2 linked regions of the Notamacropus eugenii genome follow. The protein of the gene in region 2 purifies or fractionates together with the protein of the main gene of each other region. This does not show direct contact. Links are inferred from orthologs where the notes say so. Each region holds a gene or a part of one and is shown on either strand. Other genes may lie near its edges.

Evidence for each region. Proteins that work in one complex are often made in the same cells at the same time.
Region 1: the proteins of PINX1 (region 2) and TERT purify together in Homo sapiens (co-immunoprecipitation; 3 studies listed by BioGRID and IntAct, with this or other methods). This does not show direct contact. The link is inferred for Notamacropus eugenii from reciprocal best matches to the Homo sapiens genes PINX1 and TERT.

The regions. Positions count from the first base shown.
Region 1 is NC_092875.1:345,754,056-345,761,820, reverse strand, and holds the start of TERT (telomerase reverse transcriptase), read left to right. Parts: upstream 1-4,710; 5' UTR 4,711-4,934; coding exon 4,935-5,228; intron 5,229-7,359; coding exon 7,360-7,765. UniProt on the Homo sapiens protein: Telomerase is a ribonucleoprotein enzyme essential for the replication of chromosome termini in most eukaryotes. Active in progenitor and cancer cells. Inactive, or very low activity, in normal somatic cells.
Region 2 is NC_092872.1:610,371,761-610,379,684, reverse strand, and holds the start of PINX1 (PIN2/TERF1-interacting telomerase inhibitor 1), read left to right. Parts: upstream 1-4,924; 5' UTR 4,925-5,241; coding exon 5,242-5,260; intron 5,261-7,924. UniProt on the Homo sapiens protein: Microtubule-binding protein essential for faithful chromosome segregation. Mediates TRF1 and TERT accumulation in nucleolus and enhances TRF1 binding to telomeres. Inhibits telomerase activity. May inhibit cell proliferation and act as tumor suppressor.

The DNA.
Region 1 (7,765 bases), on a different chromosome or scaffold from region 2:
ATTTTATCCATTTAGAATTTCCCTTCATTAGATTCAGCCCAATGTTCTATAATGTCAAATTCTTTTTTGGATCCTGACTCAGTCATACAGTGTGCTAGCTATTGCTCTGCATTTGGTGTAATCTGCAAATTTGAAAAGGATTCTGTTTCCGATTTTATTCATGTACTAATAAAAATCTTAGCACAGAATCCAGCATAAATTCTTGGAGCACTCCAGTGGGAACCTCCTTCCAAGTTGACATTGAACCATTAATGACCACTCTTTGAGTCTGGCCATTTAATCAGTTCTCAGTCCATCTAATTGTACTATCATCTGGGTATCAAGCATGTGACCTATAGCCCTTGCAGCAACATGCCAATATGGCAGAAACCAAATTAAAACGTAATGAGGAAATACTTTACAAAATAAGTAAAAAATACAGTAGAATATAGATAATATTATTTTGTGGTTTTCTAAATCAATATGTGGGCAGGGATCCTTATGCACATTTTAGTGACCCCACTTTTATTTGAATTCGACACCAGTGAAGTGGCTTTCCTTTCTGTTTTTTCCCCCACAAGAATAGCATGACGTACTCTATCCTAACAACTATTTGGCTAAAATTCAGGTAAGCTCTATCTGTGGCATTTCCAAGATCTTCCAGTTTAGTAGAAATGGGAACTAAAGTTAGACAGGCATTACTTGTTCCTGAGGAAGTGTAATGATAATTTGAATTGGAAAATCTTTCCTATTCATTAATAGGCCCATTAAGTCCCATGGAGCTTGTGGTGGGAGGAGTTTGCTGAATGGAGTGGAACAAGAAGAGGGGGAGCTAGAGTAGAGCTGAGAGGAAGTAAGTCTTGAGAGTCACTGCTAGGAAGGATGCTGGCTCCTGGGTAGCATGAGTGATTTTGTGATTGTGAGTTTGTTTGAGAGCCTGCTTGTGATGAGTATAATGGACCTGGTTTGTGGGAAGCCTAGCAGGGGGATGGTTTGGGGATGGTGTTGTCCTCTACATTGTTATTGTGTATAAATTTTCATTGCTGTGATGGATTTGGGTCTGAATAAATGTTTTGTTTCTGCTTTCCACCTAGATAGTCTGTGGTATTTTGCTATTCTGAATTGCACTATGATATTCATGGCTGCCCTGGGTGCTGTGAATATTACATTTGCACTACAAATGGTCATGGGGATGGGATAATGAAATATCTGACCTCAATTTGGAGGCAAAAAGGCAGAGGAGTCAGAGGAACAAATGGACATCCCAGGGTGGGAGGATTTTTGTTCTGCCCCAGAAAGAGAATGTGCTAAGGGCACAGGACTTTGTGAAAACTGGGAACTGAGGCTACAGAAAGGAGAACCCAGAGAGTTGGAAATATATTTCCAGGGAATAACAAAGGCACCAGGGAAAGAAATGGCAGGGTTATGTAGGAGAGGCAGGGCTTTGCTAAGCTCTGGATGAAGGACTCCAGAAGATGGCTGGAACCTTATGTGCTAGGGTGTAGTGAGGGCTAGGGTGTAGTGAGGGCCAGGGAGACTCAGAAAAGAAAAAACCATTTTTGCCTCGAATTGTATGTATTAGAGACACTCTTGACACTAAGGTATCAAGTAAAATGTATTGCTGCAGAGTTCAGAGGAATTGATCATTTTGGCCAAAGTGGGCCCCCACCCTCTTTTCAGGAGGAGAGAGCACTGAATACAGAAGTGAAATGAACTATATACCATTAGTTCAAGACAAATACTCCCACCAGGAGATGGATGGGTCCATCCTCCCTTAGGTCAACCTCTTCTCTGCATGTCCATTATGTAACCCCCTTTAGTATGATTCCCCCTCCCAAACATGCTCTAACATGGGACCCATGATCAGAAAATGGAGGGATAATTTTATGCAGGGTGTGTCTGCTTAAGCATATGCATGAAGTTCATTAAGCAAATGCAGTAAAGAAAAGCCTTCTCTAGGTAACTCTAGGTCATTTTTCTTGGCTAGTTCCAGCTAGCTGTAGATTTGGTTCCTTTATCAAAAACTTTGTAATTTTCTGAAGGCCACTGTCCGATGGTCTTCTTATTATCTTATTCTCAATGACTTCATCAATTAACAATAACTTGTTGTGGAAACTTAACTTTCGCTGTCTCTCACAGTATGCAAATGCTGTGAGATGGGCTGCTGGAGGAGAAGGCTCAGATGGAAAGGGAATTGGCTGGAGAGAATTTTTGTCCAGCAGTGTTCGGGCTGCCCTTGGGAGAGGAAGCTGGAGAGTTTCCAGTGGTAGAAGAGAAGGTTGTTGTTGGTTTGTCTCACAGGAGGCGAAAAGTTAACAATAGGAAAGTGAAGGCAGCCCTTGTGCAGGCTGGATTTGATTCGGGCTTAAACACAGGCCAGGAGGATGTGTGGAAGGAGAATGAAACAAGTGAGGTGGCTGAAGTTGGGCCAGTATTAAGAAGGAAGCAGGGGAATCAGGGTTCCTCCACAATTACCTCCCCAAAGGTAGGTAGGAGGTAACTAAGGATTTTTCTCAGCAGGACGTCACAGATGTTTTGAGTTGGTTCACCCAAAAGATGAGAGAATCATTGGTACTTTGGATGGTGAGAATTAGTGAAAAAGATAGGTTTTCTGGAGACAGAGGAATGAATAGCCAGTGGATTCAAGGTCAGAGAGGATTGATAAGGAAAGAGTTTTGTTGCTCTGTTGAGAGCAGGAGTAGATTTTGGAAGAACAGATGGCATTCCAACTAATGAACTATATAAAATGTATCGTAGATAGAAGATTGGTTTTAGACTGAGCAAGGAGGTAGGAGCTGCCCCTGCAGATCATTCTGAAACATTGTATCCAGGTTCATCACACCTGTAGGGAGAATGGGGAGTTGGCCGGGTCCCAGCTCAGATTGAAGAGGGTGTACCTCTAGCCAGAATGATGACCCCGGGAATGCAAATTGGAAAACAGTAAGCAATAGTGAATGAGGCTATGATAATGGGTTCATGGACTCTAGTTTGAGCATAAGCACCCCCTTCATTCCCTCTCAGCAAATGCGGCCCAAAATCTTGGGGTAAGGGGCAAAAGTCTCTTCTTTCATAGCTACTTCCTGCTGAGATTGGCCATAAAGCTATCCCTGCCCCAAGCAGTCTCATTCTAGGGGCTGGCTAGAGACAGTAGGATAGGTGAATTTGTGCTTCATATACCTGTCAGAAGAGCTGAGCTCAGGATGGAGCTCCAAAGCAGAGGGGATTAACCACTCAAGACACAGTCTTTAGAAATCTGGTTACAAGGGTGCTGTGCCAGGGATGGTGTAGCAGAGTAGATGGTAACATAACCAAAATCAATAATGGCATTCAAGTGATGTGGAAATTATCTTGGGAATTCATAACCAACTGTAGGCTGGGCTAGAACACTTCTGACGTACTTTCCATATCAAATGTCTAGAATTCTTATTCAAATTTTCCCCTAGGAAAACATGGAGAATTTCAGAATACTTATTTCATTTTGAAAGTTCAAGAAATGCATCATATCTTGGTATTCATATCATTTCATATGCATACATTGTTTCTCCCCAGTGCATGGTATATTCCCTCAACAAAAGGGATAAATAAGTTTTTCAATTTTTTAGGTACTTAGTATAGTGTTCTGCTACCAGTTAGTGCTCAATAAATGTTTAAATTCATTCCATTAGTTATTTCATTATAAACAAAGCTTCTTATCCTGGAAAGAGAGACTAGTTTTCCACACTGACCACATAAGCTGGGCTGGTGGAATAGATAGGAGCAAAGAGAATGGGTGTGTCTATCTGGGTCTGAACAGTTGTTTGTCCTTAGAAGAAGACCAATGACATCATGGGGTGCTGTTTTGACTCCCGGTGTGAACTGAATTTAAGTGAGACAGGTTGCAAAGACAACAGCCTCGCTGTCTCTTCCAGTCATCAAAGTCCAGTGGCAAGAGGAAAGTTAAGATGACTGGAGATGGATGCAGTGGATAATCTTGATTCTTTGATACTTGAGCAATCTAAGCACCTGGTTCAGCTATCTTCATGGCCCTTGGACCAAATTGTTCTCATGGGCCCCTTCAGCCCTGGGAAGTCTTCATGTGCATGGGGTAGACACCCGCCCCTCCCAACTCACCAACCAGCTTGAGGCCTGTCACTTATCCTCAACTTGGTTTAGCCCATCTGCTGATGTGGCTGCTGAGCATGCTACAGCTTCTTGGAGATGCAGGTGAGAGTTGGTGAAGGTGGACATCAAACGTGAAGGAGCAGCCCAGAAAAGTCATCCGTCAGCCCTCACACCGAGGTGCTGGTCCTTCCTGAGCGCAGGTTTTACAAAGATAGTAAAGAATCAAGATAGAGGGAATATCAGCTGTAACAGGCAACATTTACGCCTGTTACAAAGTCACAGTAGGAAAGAGAATGTTGCAGAGGGAACTTTTTTCAGGTTTGGGATGGGCTAGGTGGAGCTTGGTGGCTCCTTTGAAGATTGAGATTCTTCGATTTTATCCCAGTGCTTAGCACAAAATGAGTGGCACATAGTAGGTGCTTAATAGATAGGTACTTAGTAGGTACTTAAGGACTCCCCCCTCCCCCAACATTGAATTAACAATGTTGAATTATCAAATATGGCTTCTCCCAGAAAGTGTAAATGAAAATTAACAATTGGGCTCCAGAATCCTTCCTGACACCTTCTAGTCTTTTCCCAGGCGCTGTTGTCCCTTTAAGAGCCCAGACGCCCCAAAGCCCCCTCCCCTTTTCCTCTTCCGCCTGCCTCTTCTCCCCGCCCCGCCCCGCTGCGGGCTGCAGCCCAGCTCGGGCTCCCCCGGGTTACCCTCCTCGCCCGGCCTCGCCGCTCCCAGCCGCCCCTTGGTCTGCCTCCGCGGCGGGCTCCTAGCCTGCTCTCTGGGTGGCAGCTGCAGCGCAGGCAGGTGCAGCAGCGGGAGGAGCGGCGGCGCCCACCCTCCCGGGCCCTCGCGCACCATGGCTTCCCGGCCCCCGGCCCCGCGCTCCTTGCTGGCCTCGGCGGCCTTCCGCCCGGTGCGCGAGGTGCTGCGGGACAGCTACCGGGATGTGCTGGGGCTGGCGGAGTTCGTGCAGCGCCTCGAGGACGAGGCGCGGACCGCGCGGGCTCCGGGGGACCGGCCGGACCAGCAGGTAGCCGTGCGGCTCCTGCGCAGCGGGGATCCCGAGGTCTTCCAGGTTTTTGTGTCCGGCTGTGTGGTGTGTGTGCCGTGGGGTGCCCGGCCCCTCCCCAGGCCTCTCACCTTCCGGCAGGTAATGCATGCATCCTTGCCAGGAGCCCTGGGGTGGGAGTATCGGACCGAAACTCGGGGCTTCCTCAGTGGCTGGCGGTTGGCGGGGGGCCTGCTCCTTTCTACCCACTCGACCAAGAGAGTATTTGGATTAAATACTCCAATTGTTTCAGGGAAGCAAGTCATTTAACACCTTGGGCTGCTCGGACTCTACCTTTCATTTCTCCATAGGTAATTTCCTGTTCCACTCCCCACTGAAGCATCTTCAGGCTGTCCTTAAGCTCCACATACCTTCCCTGCGGAAGTCACCTCTTACTTTCCACCTCTCTCTGTGATGAGATGAGCCCTTCCTGCCAAAGCCAGCCGTTCTACCTGTGCTCTTAGATTCCATTCCCCGGGTTTTTCTCTTATAGATTGCACCTTCCACCCCCTCCCCCCCATTCCTTAACCTTCAATCTCTCCCTATCTGTTGATTCCTTCCCTGTTGCTTTCAAATGTGCCCAAGGTTCCCCAATTCTTAAAGAACTCTCTGAACCTTATTATCTCCTCTAGCATTTAATTGCTCTATATCTCCTCTCCCGTTCTCAGCTAGACTCTTGGAAAAATCCTTCTACAGTCTTTTCTCATTCTCTTCTCGACCTTTGTAGTATGGCCTTGGATCCCATCACAGGGACTGAAATTGCTTTCTCTAAAGTTACCAGTGATCTCTTAATGACCAAATCTGGGGGCTTTCTTGACTCATCTTTTTTGACCTGTGTCATTGGACACTGTTGACTATCCTCCCGTCCCCAATTTTTGTAAAAAACACTCTGTCCTGGTTTTCCTCTTAACCTAACCACCATTCCTTCTCAGGATGCTTTGCTGGTTCTTCATCCTGGGCACGCCCCCTGTGTGGGTGTCTTCCAGAGCCATATTATGGGCCCTCTTCTCTCATTGGGTGACTCCATCATCTAGTAAAACGAAATATTCAAGTCCCAGCGTTTCTGTTGAATTCCATCGCTCCTTGCCTATTGGATGTTTCAGATTGGACGTCCCAGAGACATCTCAAGCTCATATCCAAAACAGAACTCATTACCTCTTCCCCAAAACCCACTCCTATTTCTGTTGAGGATACTACTATTCTTCTAGCATGTCAGGTTTATAACCTTAGCACCACACCACATATCCAATCACTTTCTAGGTCCCACCATTTCTACCTTTACAACCTCCTTCCATTTCTATTTACAAAGTTATCACTTCCTCCCTGAACCATTATGATAGCCTTATCTTTTATCTCCCTCCCTCATGTTTCTTTCCCTTTGCATGCGTTTTCCACACAGTCACCACAAAAGTGATTTTTTTATAAGCTCAGATCTGATCTTGGCACTCTCCTATTCAGTAAACTCTACGGGCTCTCTGGTACTTCCACCTTCCATTCTAGAACATGTAAACTCTTTTATGGAGCTTTTTAAGGCCTTTCACAACCTGGCCCCATCCTCATTATGCATTACTCCATTTGCCTGACTTTAGGGTGAAGCTTAACTAGACTTTTCTCTATTGTTTACACAAACATTCCATTTTCCTTCTCTGGGACTTTGAATTGGCCATTATCTTTCATGTCTGGAATGCACTCCTTCCTTACCTTTGTCTTGTACCATCCCTTATTTTTTTCGCAATGTGCCTTGAGCAGCATCCTGTTCAGGAAATCTTTCTGCTTTCTCCCAGCTGCTAATTTGTGAACTCATTCCCAAACTACCTTTTGTTTAATTGCTTTCTATTTATCGATATACTTAAATGTATAGGTTGTCTTACTCCCTGTAGAATACAAGGGAAAGGATTATGTCTCTCCATTAGAATGTGAGACCCTTGAAAGCAGGCTTTATATTTTGCCTTTCTATCCCCAGCATTGGCACATGGTTGGTGCCTTTAAAATGGTTGTTGATTGACTTATATTTTCTTTAATCTACTTTCAAGGGGATATGGTTCTAGTTTCTTCTAGCCTGGTGCCCTGCATATGGAAGAAACTTTAAAATGTTGTTGAATGTAGTTTTGAATTGGCTCTCTGCTTTGAGTAACATTGAGATGAATTTTGGTCCCAGGATCACCTTATGAATATTATTTAGAAAGTTGGAAAAAACTGCCATCAGCAATTTTGAATTTTTTTCTTTCTTTAGCTGTCTTCCCAGAAGGAAGTAGTTGCTAGAATTGTCCAGAGGATTTGTGAAAAGAAAAAAAAGAATATTCTGGCTTTTGGATACACCCTTTTAGAGGAAAATAGAATGCCATTGCCAGTTAAGTTTACCACAAACGTCTACAACTATCACCCTAACACAGTAACAGAAACAATTAGTGTCAGTGCCTTGTGGGAGATACTTTTAAGCAGGATAGGAGATGATGTGATGATGTATATGTTAGAGCACTGTTCCATTTTCATGATGGTACCCCCAACCTGCTCTTACCAGATCTCTGGGCTACCTATCTATGAACTCAATTTAAAAGATTCTGTCTCTCCATCTGGGTTCTTGCGAAAAAAATATCCGAAGGAGGAACCAAATGTCTCACTTGACAATGTCAGAAAGA
Region 2 (7,924 bases):
GAACAGTCACTTAGTAAATGATTAAGATACCAATTGAATGACTAAGATGCAAATTCAACATTTTTTTTTTTGCAGTTAACTAATCATTAGCAATTCTGATACATGTGTAATAAGGAATAAGTTCACAAGGCCTCTAAAGGTTTTCCCCATGTGGAGATGCTGGGAAACCTGCTTCCTGCTTCTAGGAGAGTCATGATGACATAGAAATGAAGATCCTGAAAGAGACTGTGGAGTGTGTCAGGACATTGAATAACTGGTTCCAATCAGCTTTGTTTGTCCTTCATTCCAGAAGAGGACCATGACATCAGAGGTAATGTCTTTGAGTTGCAAGTGAATTGGATTTAAGGGAAGGAGGGCTGTGCAAAGTCACCAGCCTTACTTTCTCCTCCAGAGTCATGTGGGTCAAGTGGCAAGATACAGATCAGGATGACTGGAGATGGTTCTCCATCAGCTTATTGCCCGAGAAAGAGGAACCTCTTTGGTTTACTGAGGAAGCATTCAAAAGGGCGTGGCAGTGTCAGTCGTGTTCTTAGCGTCAGAGCTCTAGGAGGTCTGGAGGATGACACCATCCTGGTATTGCATTCCAGAGTATCCTTCAGGACCCCAGCCTCATGACAGCTGTGACAAGTATTCATCTGGCAATGCTGCCACCTTTGCACACAGTGGTGGGACCAACATGATGTAGGAACTGAGCTAAGTATGAGCTGCTCTCAGACTTAGTCTCCCTATACGCCTACTCTCCTTGAGACTGAAGGAGTATAGGGAAGAGTATACCTCTAAGATACCAGGGAAAGTGTTGGTTCTTGTTGCACTTTCAAAGTAAATATTCCTTTGTAAAAGCTAATTGATGTTAAGTGGGGCACTATTTATTGGTATCTAACAATTGTGGGGAGAGAGGAGGAGGAATACAGTAGAGTGGGTTTTGCTTCTGGTAGTAGAGAAGCTATGACTGCAAATCCACTGCCTGGCTTTGGGAAATGATCCAGAACACACAAGTTACATATATATGAAATGCTATATAAACGTTAGCTATTATTATTTTTATTGTTGATGTGGTATGGAAACTGAAAAAGTCTGAGGACTACTTTTACTGAAAAGCACTGTACTTAGCAGATTTGATCAAATAAAAATATTCAAGTTAAGCGTAGGTAGCAGAACACTTTTTTTAGCTTGATTAAGAGTAGCAACTCCAAGGGCAGAATACATGGAAAATAATTAGATAATATGGGAGAAGACTACTCTGTTCTGTTTTAGGCTAATTTTACCCTACCCTATTTTACAAATGGGGCTTGATCATTTCTCCTTACTCATTAACTCTGTTTCTCTTCTACCACTGTGCTTTTCAGTTAACAGTTCAATTTAACAATTTAACAAACATTGACTAGATTAAACTGATCCACTACTTTCATTTGACTACCAGAATGTTCTCACTGTAACATTCCCACCTCCCTCCCTGCCCCCCCATTCTTAGGCCTTTTTACCTCCATCAACACTCTTTGCCTTCCCCACAGGGGTGTATTGCTGCTCGTTCCTGGCCTTTCCTATTTTTTCTCCCTGTGGAAACCTATCCATATCATCCCTTCAATCTCTTACTGAAAGGCAGCTTGGGAGAGTAGATGGAGAACCAGTTTCAGAATCAAGAAGGCCTAGGTTCAAGTTCTTTCTCTGATGAATTCCACTTAACTTTTCAGTGCCCCAGGCAATTGCCTAAACTAGTCATTTGCAGAAGGTGTTGGTGTGCAATACAACTTAAACCTGTCATAAGGAGTTCCCTTAACTAATAAAAACATATTACTTACACACACACACACACACACACACACACACACACTTTAAGGCTCTTACTATGAATGTGCAAGACATACTTCTGTTCTCCTAGCTGCAAATGTTAGTGCCCTCCTTCCCAAGCCACCCTGTACTTAATAATTTATATGTAAGTAAATATAGTTATATTTTGCAGTTAGATACTTTTGTATTTATTAATTTTATATTTATATATATATATGTATACATACATACATACACATATATATTTGGCACAGTGCCTGGCACATAGGAGGCACTTAATAAATGTTGGATTGGATTAGATTGGATACATACTTGGACTCTTTCGTTAGAATGTTAGCTCCTTGTGTGTAATTGTTTGTACTTTATACTGATATCCCAAAACATCTAGCATAGTAGATCTTAATACTTGTTGACTGATGGAATTGGACAACTGAAACTGTCTCCTAATTTCCTGCCTCTCCCATTTATCAATGGGGGAAGTGAAAGGGTGGGGAAAGTCATTCTTCTTTCAAAACAATATTTTAATTTTTCCAATTACATGTAAAAAAAGATCTTAACATTCATTTTAAACCATTCTCTACCTTAACAACCTCACACAGTTCCATAATTACAATTATCACTCTTAAGCAGATGACTCACAAATCTCTGTTTTGACCCTCAATCTCTCCTCTAAACTTGTCTCAAATTTTAAACAGATCTTGGACATTTGTACCTGAATATCTCATCTAAGCCCAAAACTCAATATATTTGAAACTAAACCCATCTGCCCTTCTATACCCTACCCAAAATCCTGCCCTTCCTTCTAGCTTCCCCATTTCTATTGATTGTACCACCAACCTCCTCAGTATCATCCTTGATTCATTTACTTTGATTCTCCTCCATGCAATAAATTCCCAAGTCTTGTTCATTCAGTCTCTGTATTATCTCTTGCATCTGTACATCCCTTTCCAGTTTCACTGCTATCACCACAACTCAGACCTGTACTATTGTCCTTGCCTATGGTTTTGCCTTGAGAAACATCATAGCACAATAATTCTAGGGCAGACCTTAGAGTCAAGGAGACATGGATTCAAATTCTGTCCCTGGCACAGACATGTGCCTCAGTGCTTCCAAGTAGCTAAGACTATAAATTAATGTAGAGAGAACTTCCTTTGGGCTAGAGAATTTCCTATACAGGTCTGAACCAACCCCTCCCCCCCCAAATTCCGCTTTTCTCATTCTTACTTTTGTTATATTTATGTACCTTATACCCTCTTGCAGGAACTGTCTTTTTCATTTTTGATGGCCCATTGTATTTTACCTGGTATTAATCAATCTTTACTGAGTACCTTCCATGCTCCAGGCACTGTGCTAAGTGCTGGGGATATGAAAAGAAGCAAAAGATAGTCCCAGACCTCAAGGAGGTCACCATCTGATAAATTGTGAGACAGTAGTAGATGCTTCAGAAAATATTTCTTGGATTGAATATACACTTTTTAGTATATGTCTTATCTCCCTATTTGTACGGACACATTTTCCTATAATAACTACCTGTTGCTAGTCTCATGCATAAGGAGCAAGGTACAGTGGCTCACATCATAAGACTTGCTGGGTATGTTCAAAAGCATCTGGTCAGCTTGATATTCTCCTTGTCATTAAAAGTCACTTAGAAGTCTTCTGTAGATACCCAAACCTCAGCTAGTGTGAAACCTGTGGTCTGTATTAAACCCGTTGCATATGAACCATGAGTCACTTGCAGGTACTGCACTACTGACAATGAACCACATCTTCTCAAGAGCCGCTGTACTTAATACTAGAGAAAAGCAATCTGTTACTCTGTTGATTATCTAGGGCAGCTAGGTGGTGTAGTGGATAGAGCACTGGGCCTGGAATCAGGAAGACCTGAGCTCAAATACAGCCTCACACTGCTAGTTGTGAGACCCTGGGAAAATCACTTAACCCCTGCTTGTCTCAGTTCCTCAACTGTAAAATGGGGACACACCTGAAAAGGAAATGGCAAACCACTCCAGTATCTTTGCCAAGAAAATCCCACGGACAAGGGCATAGGGACGCAGAGTTGAACAAGATTGAAGGACTTTACCCACAAAAGTGGTCATCCAGCAAAAGAGTGAAATACTAGTTGTTGCCACTAGATGGCTTTCTCCTTGAGTCCTGTATCCTTGTCAGTTTCTTTCTGCTAGATCTAATAAGGTACAATTTCCCAAAAGTTTTACTGTATGGAGTCTAGCCGCCACTTAACCTGATTACACCTAGGCTGATCCCACATCACCAGCGGCCCCTCTTCTGCTGACAGTGCTGAGAGGTTCAAAACCTACGCTAGCCAGATTTGGAATCTTAACTAGGCGACAATGTTACTATTGTTTTGTTACTATCTTACGGTTCAAAGTATCAAAAACATCAGCTGACCTCACTCCCCCTCCAGAGGTCAGTGGGCACTCTCCCCTCCAAAGACAATTCCCCACATTCTTAAGAGACAGGTTTTCCAGCAGATAGCCAGATAGAGCACCACCCTCAGAATCAGGAAGACCTGGGTTCCAATCCTACCTCAGACACTTCCTAGCTGTGTGGAGCAAGGCACTTAAGCTCGCTAAGTCTCAGTTTCTTCATCTGTAAAATGAACATAATAAAAATAGCCCCTACATTAGGGTTATTGTAAAGTACATCATCACATGGGATCTTTAAGGCATGTAAAGAACTTTGAAAGTCTTAAATCAAGGAGTAAAAAAGAATACTACTGACCTAGTACCTAGTGGATAAGGCCCTGGATTTGGAGTCAGATGGAGCTGGGTTCCAACTTTGCCTCAGCAGCATGACGCTTAACTTCAGTCTGCCTCGGTTTCCTCGTATTTTTACAGGGCTATAACAGCACCTCCTTCACTGGGCTGCTGTGAACGTAAAATGAGATATTTGTGAAGCTCTTTGAAAACCTTGATTAGGTTTATAAATACTGGCTGTTATTAGTAGTTGTTCTATGACCTTGGGCAAGTCGCTTAAGCTCAGTTTCCCCAAGTGCAAAGTGAGGGGGCTCCCGGCTCGGGAGTCTGATAAAGAGCATTGTACGCTCCTCGACCCACCGACTCCCTCCCTCCCTCCCTCAGGCCCCGCCTTCCTTCCGCCTTCCCTCAGGCCCCGCCTCCCACCTTCTCTCAGGTCCCGCCCTCCTTCCGTCAGGCCCCGCCTTCCTTCCTCCTTCCGTCAGGTCCCGCCCTCCTTCCCTCAGGCCCTGCCTTCCTCCTCTCAGGGCTCTTCCCTCCACAGACGGCCGCGTGAGCTCGTCGCGCTCCTGTGTCGTCATCATCTCGCGCCGCCGCTGCCGGCTTTACCTCGGAAGCCGCGTGCAGCTTCTGGTCTCTGGAGCCAGTCGGGCTCCCAGAGGCGGGCTTGACCCTTAGCTCGTCTGTCTTCCGGCGTGGTGGTCCAGGGCCGGCGTCCGTGGCGTTTGGGCTGTCCAGAATGGCGATGCTGGCTGAACGTGAGTTCCCCCTGTTCGGGGGGCGCCCGGGGGGGTTGAGCAGACGAGGGCTCGAAGTCGCGCCGAAGTCCTGGTGTCCATGCAGGGGCGCCCGTGGAAGGCTCCCCGGTGAATCCCGGCCCCGCAGTGGTCACGTCACCTTCCCGTGCCTCCTGGTGGGCTCTGTCACTCCCGTGGCCTCTATCCGGCCTACGTCCGAGGCACCTAGGGGATGGAGCGCTGGACCTGGAGTCAGGTGACCTGCCTCACTCTTAGCAGCCGGCCGAGCCTGGGCAGATCAGCCTCAGTTCTCCCACCTGTCCAGTGGGACCAGCCACGGCGCTAAACACGGGGACAGCCCCTGACCCGCTCACGGTAGGGTGGGGGGAACCGCATGCGGACGTTTATGTCCGAACAAGCCGTAGACAGGATACACTGGAGCTGATCCACGGAGGGAAGGCTCTAGAATTGAGGGGGATCGGAAAGGTGTCCTGTGGAAGGCGGGCGTTGAGCTGGTGCTCGAAGGGAGCGCGCAGGTGGAGGTGAGGAGATGCAGGTCCCCCACGTGGGGGTCTGCCCGTGAAAACATCCGGAGGTGGGAGACGGGAGCGTCTCCTTGAAGGACACTGGATTGCAGAGTATGTGTTTGGAGATGTCGGAAGCTTGGGAGGGGCAGGGGCAGCTTCCTGGAGGTGTTAAGTTGTCTCTGGAGTTTATGGAAGTGAGAAGATGGAATGGTTCGCACGGTGCTTTAGGGAGATGGCTTTGACAGCTGTCAGTTATCCTCATCTGGGTGTAGAGTGGGGTGGAGGTGGGCACCACAAGTGAAGGAGCAGCCCCGACGTCAGAGCTGTGGGGTTAAACAGGATGCAGTGAAGTGTCTTACACCGAAAATTAAAAACGATTTGTAAGTCAGCAAGCATTTAAGCACTTACTCTGTGCCAGACACTGTGCTAGGACTGGGAATTTAAATAAAGGAAAAGGAAAACCGCACCTTGTACTCAAGGAACTTACATTCTACTGGGGGAAGACCACCCATAAAAGGAGGGGGGGGGTTTCTCAGGCTTGGGAAACAACCGTCCAGAGTGGGCATTGGGAAATACTGCCACCAGGTGGCAGTGGTGTCTTTGATTTGGCAAAGAATACCCTCACCATGCACTTAAAATCAATCAATCAATTAAGCATCTATTTTGCGCTGGGCACTGTGTGGAGGAATATAGTGCTGAAATTGCCATTCTGAACTTGTAAAACAGCTACAAATATCACGTGATAGTTTCAAGTTGAATTTCTAATTTTTAAGAACATTCAACTTATATTTGACTGTTGCCAGTGTATTAAGGTAGATCTAGAAAACTCAGAAAATAATTCTTAGTTCTGAATTTAGAAAATAAGGAATGGCAGGATAGAGCATAAGAAATTAGGTAACATTTAATGAGGCTATTTCAAAGTGATAAATGTGTAGAACAAGCTTTTAAGGAAAAACAATTTGGAGAACTTGTTCCTCTGTTACTCAACCTAAACTGTTACTAATTCTTCATCCCTTTACTTTTTCTTTTGAAGTCTTCAGAGAGGAAAGTGTTGGCTTTTTTCTTTCACATACCTGACTTGATGTGCCTTTGACTTCTCCCATCTCTGAAGTTACTATACCACTTTGCCTCTTGTACCTTAGTGGCCCTCAGAAGAAAAAGGGGTCAAAGGCCACTCACCAGTTTGCCTAGTGCTGGTTCCACTTGCCTTGGGTTGTGTATAAATAGATACCTCTGTGTGGAAGTATTTTTGTCCTGCTTCAATGCATACATACTTAGCTAGAATATTGGACCTCCTGCCAAATGGACTGAATTGGGAAGATTTTGTATAATAGTATTTAACACTTATGTTACATAATTACAGTTACTGTTGATATTTATATAGCACTTCAAGATTTGTAAAGGGCTTTACTCATAGTGCCTCATTTTCACAACTGCACAGTGCAGTTATTATTAGCATCTTCATTTTACATATTTGGAAACCAAGGTCCAGAGATTTGTTCATGGTTATGCAACTAGTTTCAGAGGAAGAATATGAACCCCATCTTCCTGACTCTATGTCCAAGACTGTCACTACAGTGTGCCATGTTATACTTTTATGTTTCAAGGTGGTCTTATATTCCCAATGTGCCAGGCAGGGCCAGCATTAACATTGTTTATACATGAGGAAACTGAAACATAGACAGGAACAGATATTTCTAGCTTCACTCAGCTGCTGTGAAGCTAGAAATGATGGTCAGGTATCCTGAAACTCCCCCGTTCAATCCCACTGTGTTCACCTTTGCATATAACTTTTACTTGATAGTGTTGTTAGAAATTTTAAAGAAAATATGGTTCCAGCCTCAGTAAAGTTTAGTGCTTTATGATTAGCAAAAAAAAAATCTAGATTGTTCTAACATTTAGTATTTTTTTAGTCCCATTTTTAGTGGCTGTGTAGCATCTCACTCATCTGGAACAGCCATTTGGCAGCCTTTCCTATTCAAAATACGGGCAAGAGATGGGAAGTATGCAAAGAAAAAGTCCTCTGAAGGGTTGTAATTGATTTTTTAAAAGTTCATGCATTGAAAGCTTATATACTTTATTGATAGGGGAGTGACTTAAGCCCTTATTCAGAGGCTACTTTTATTTTACATCTAGTTTTAACAAGTTTAGTTATTTA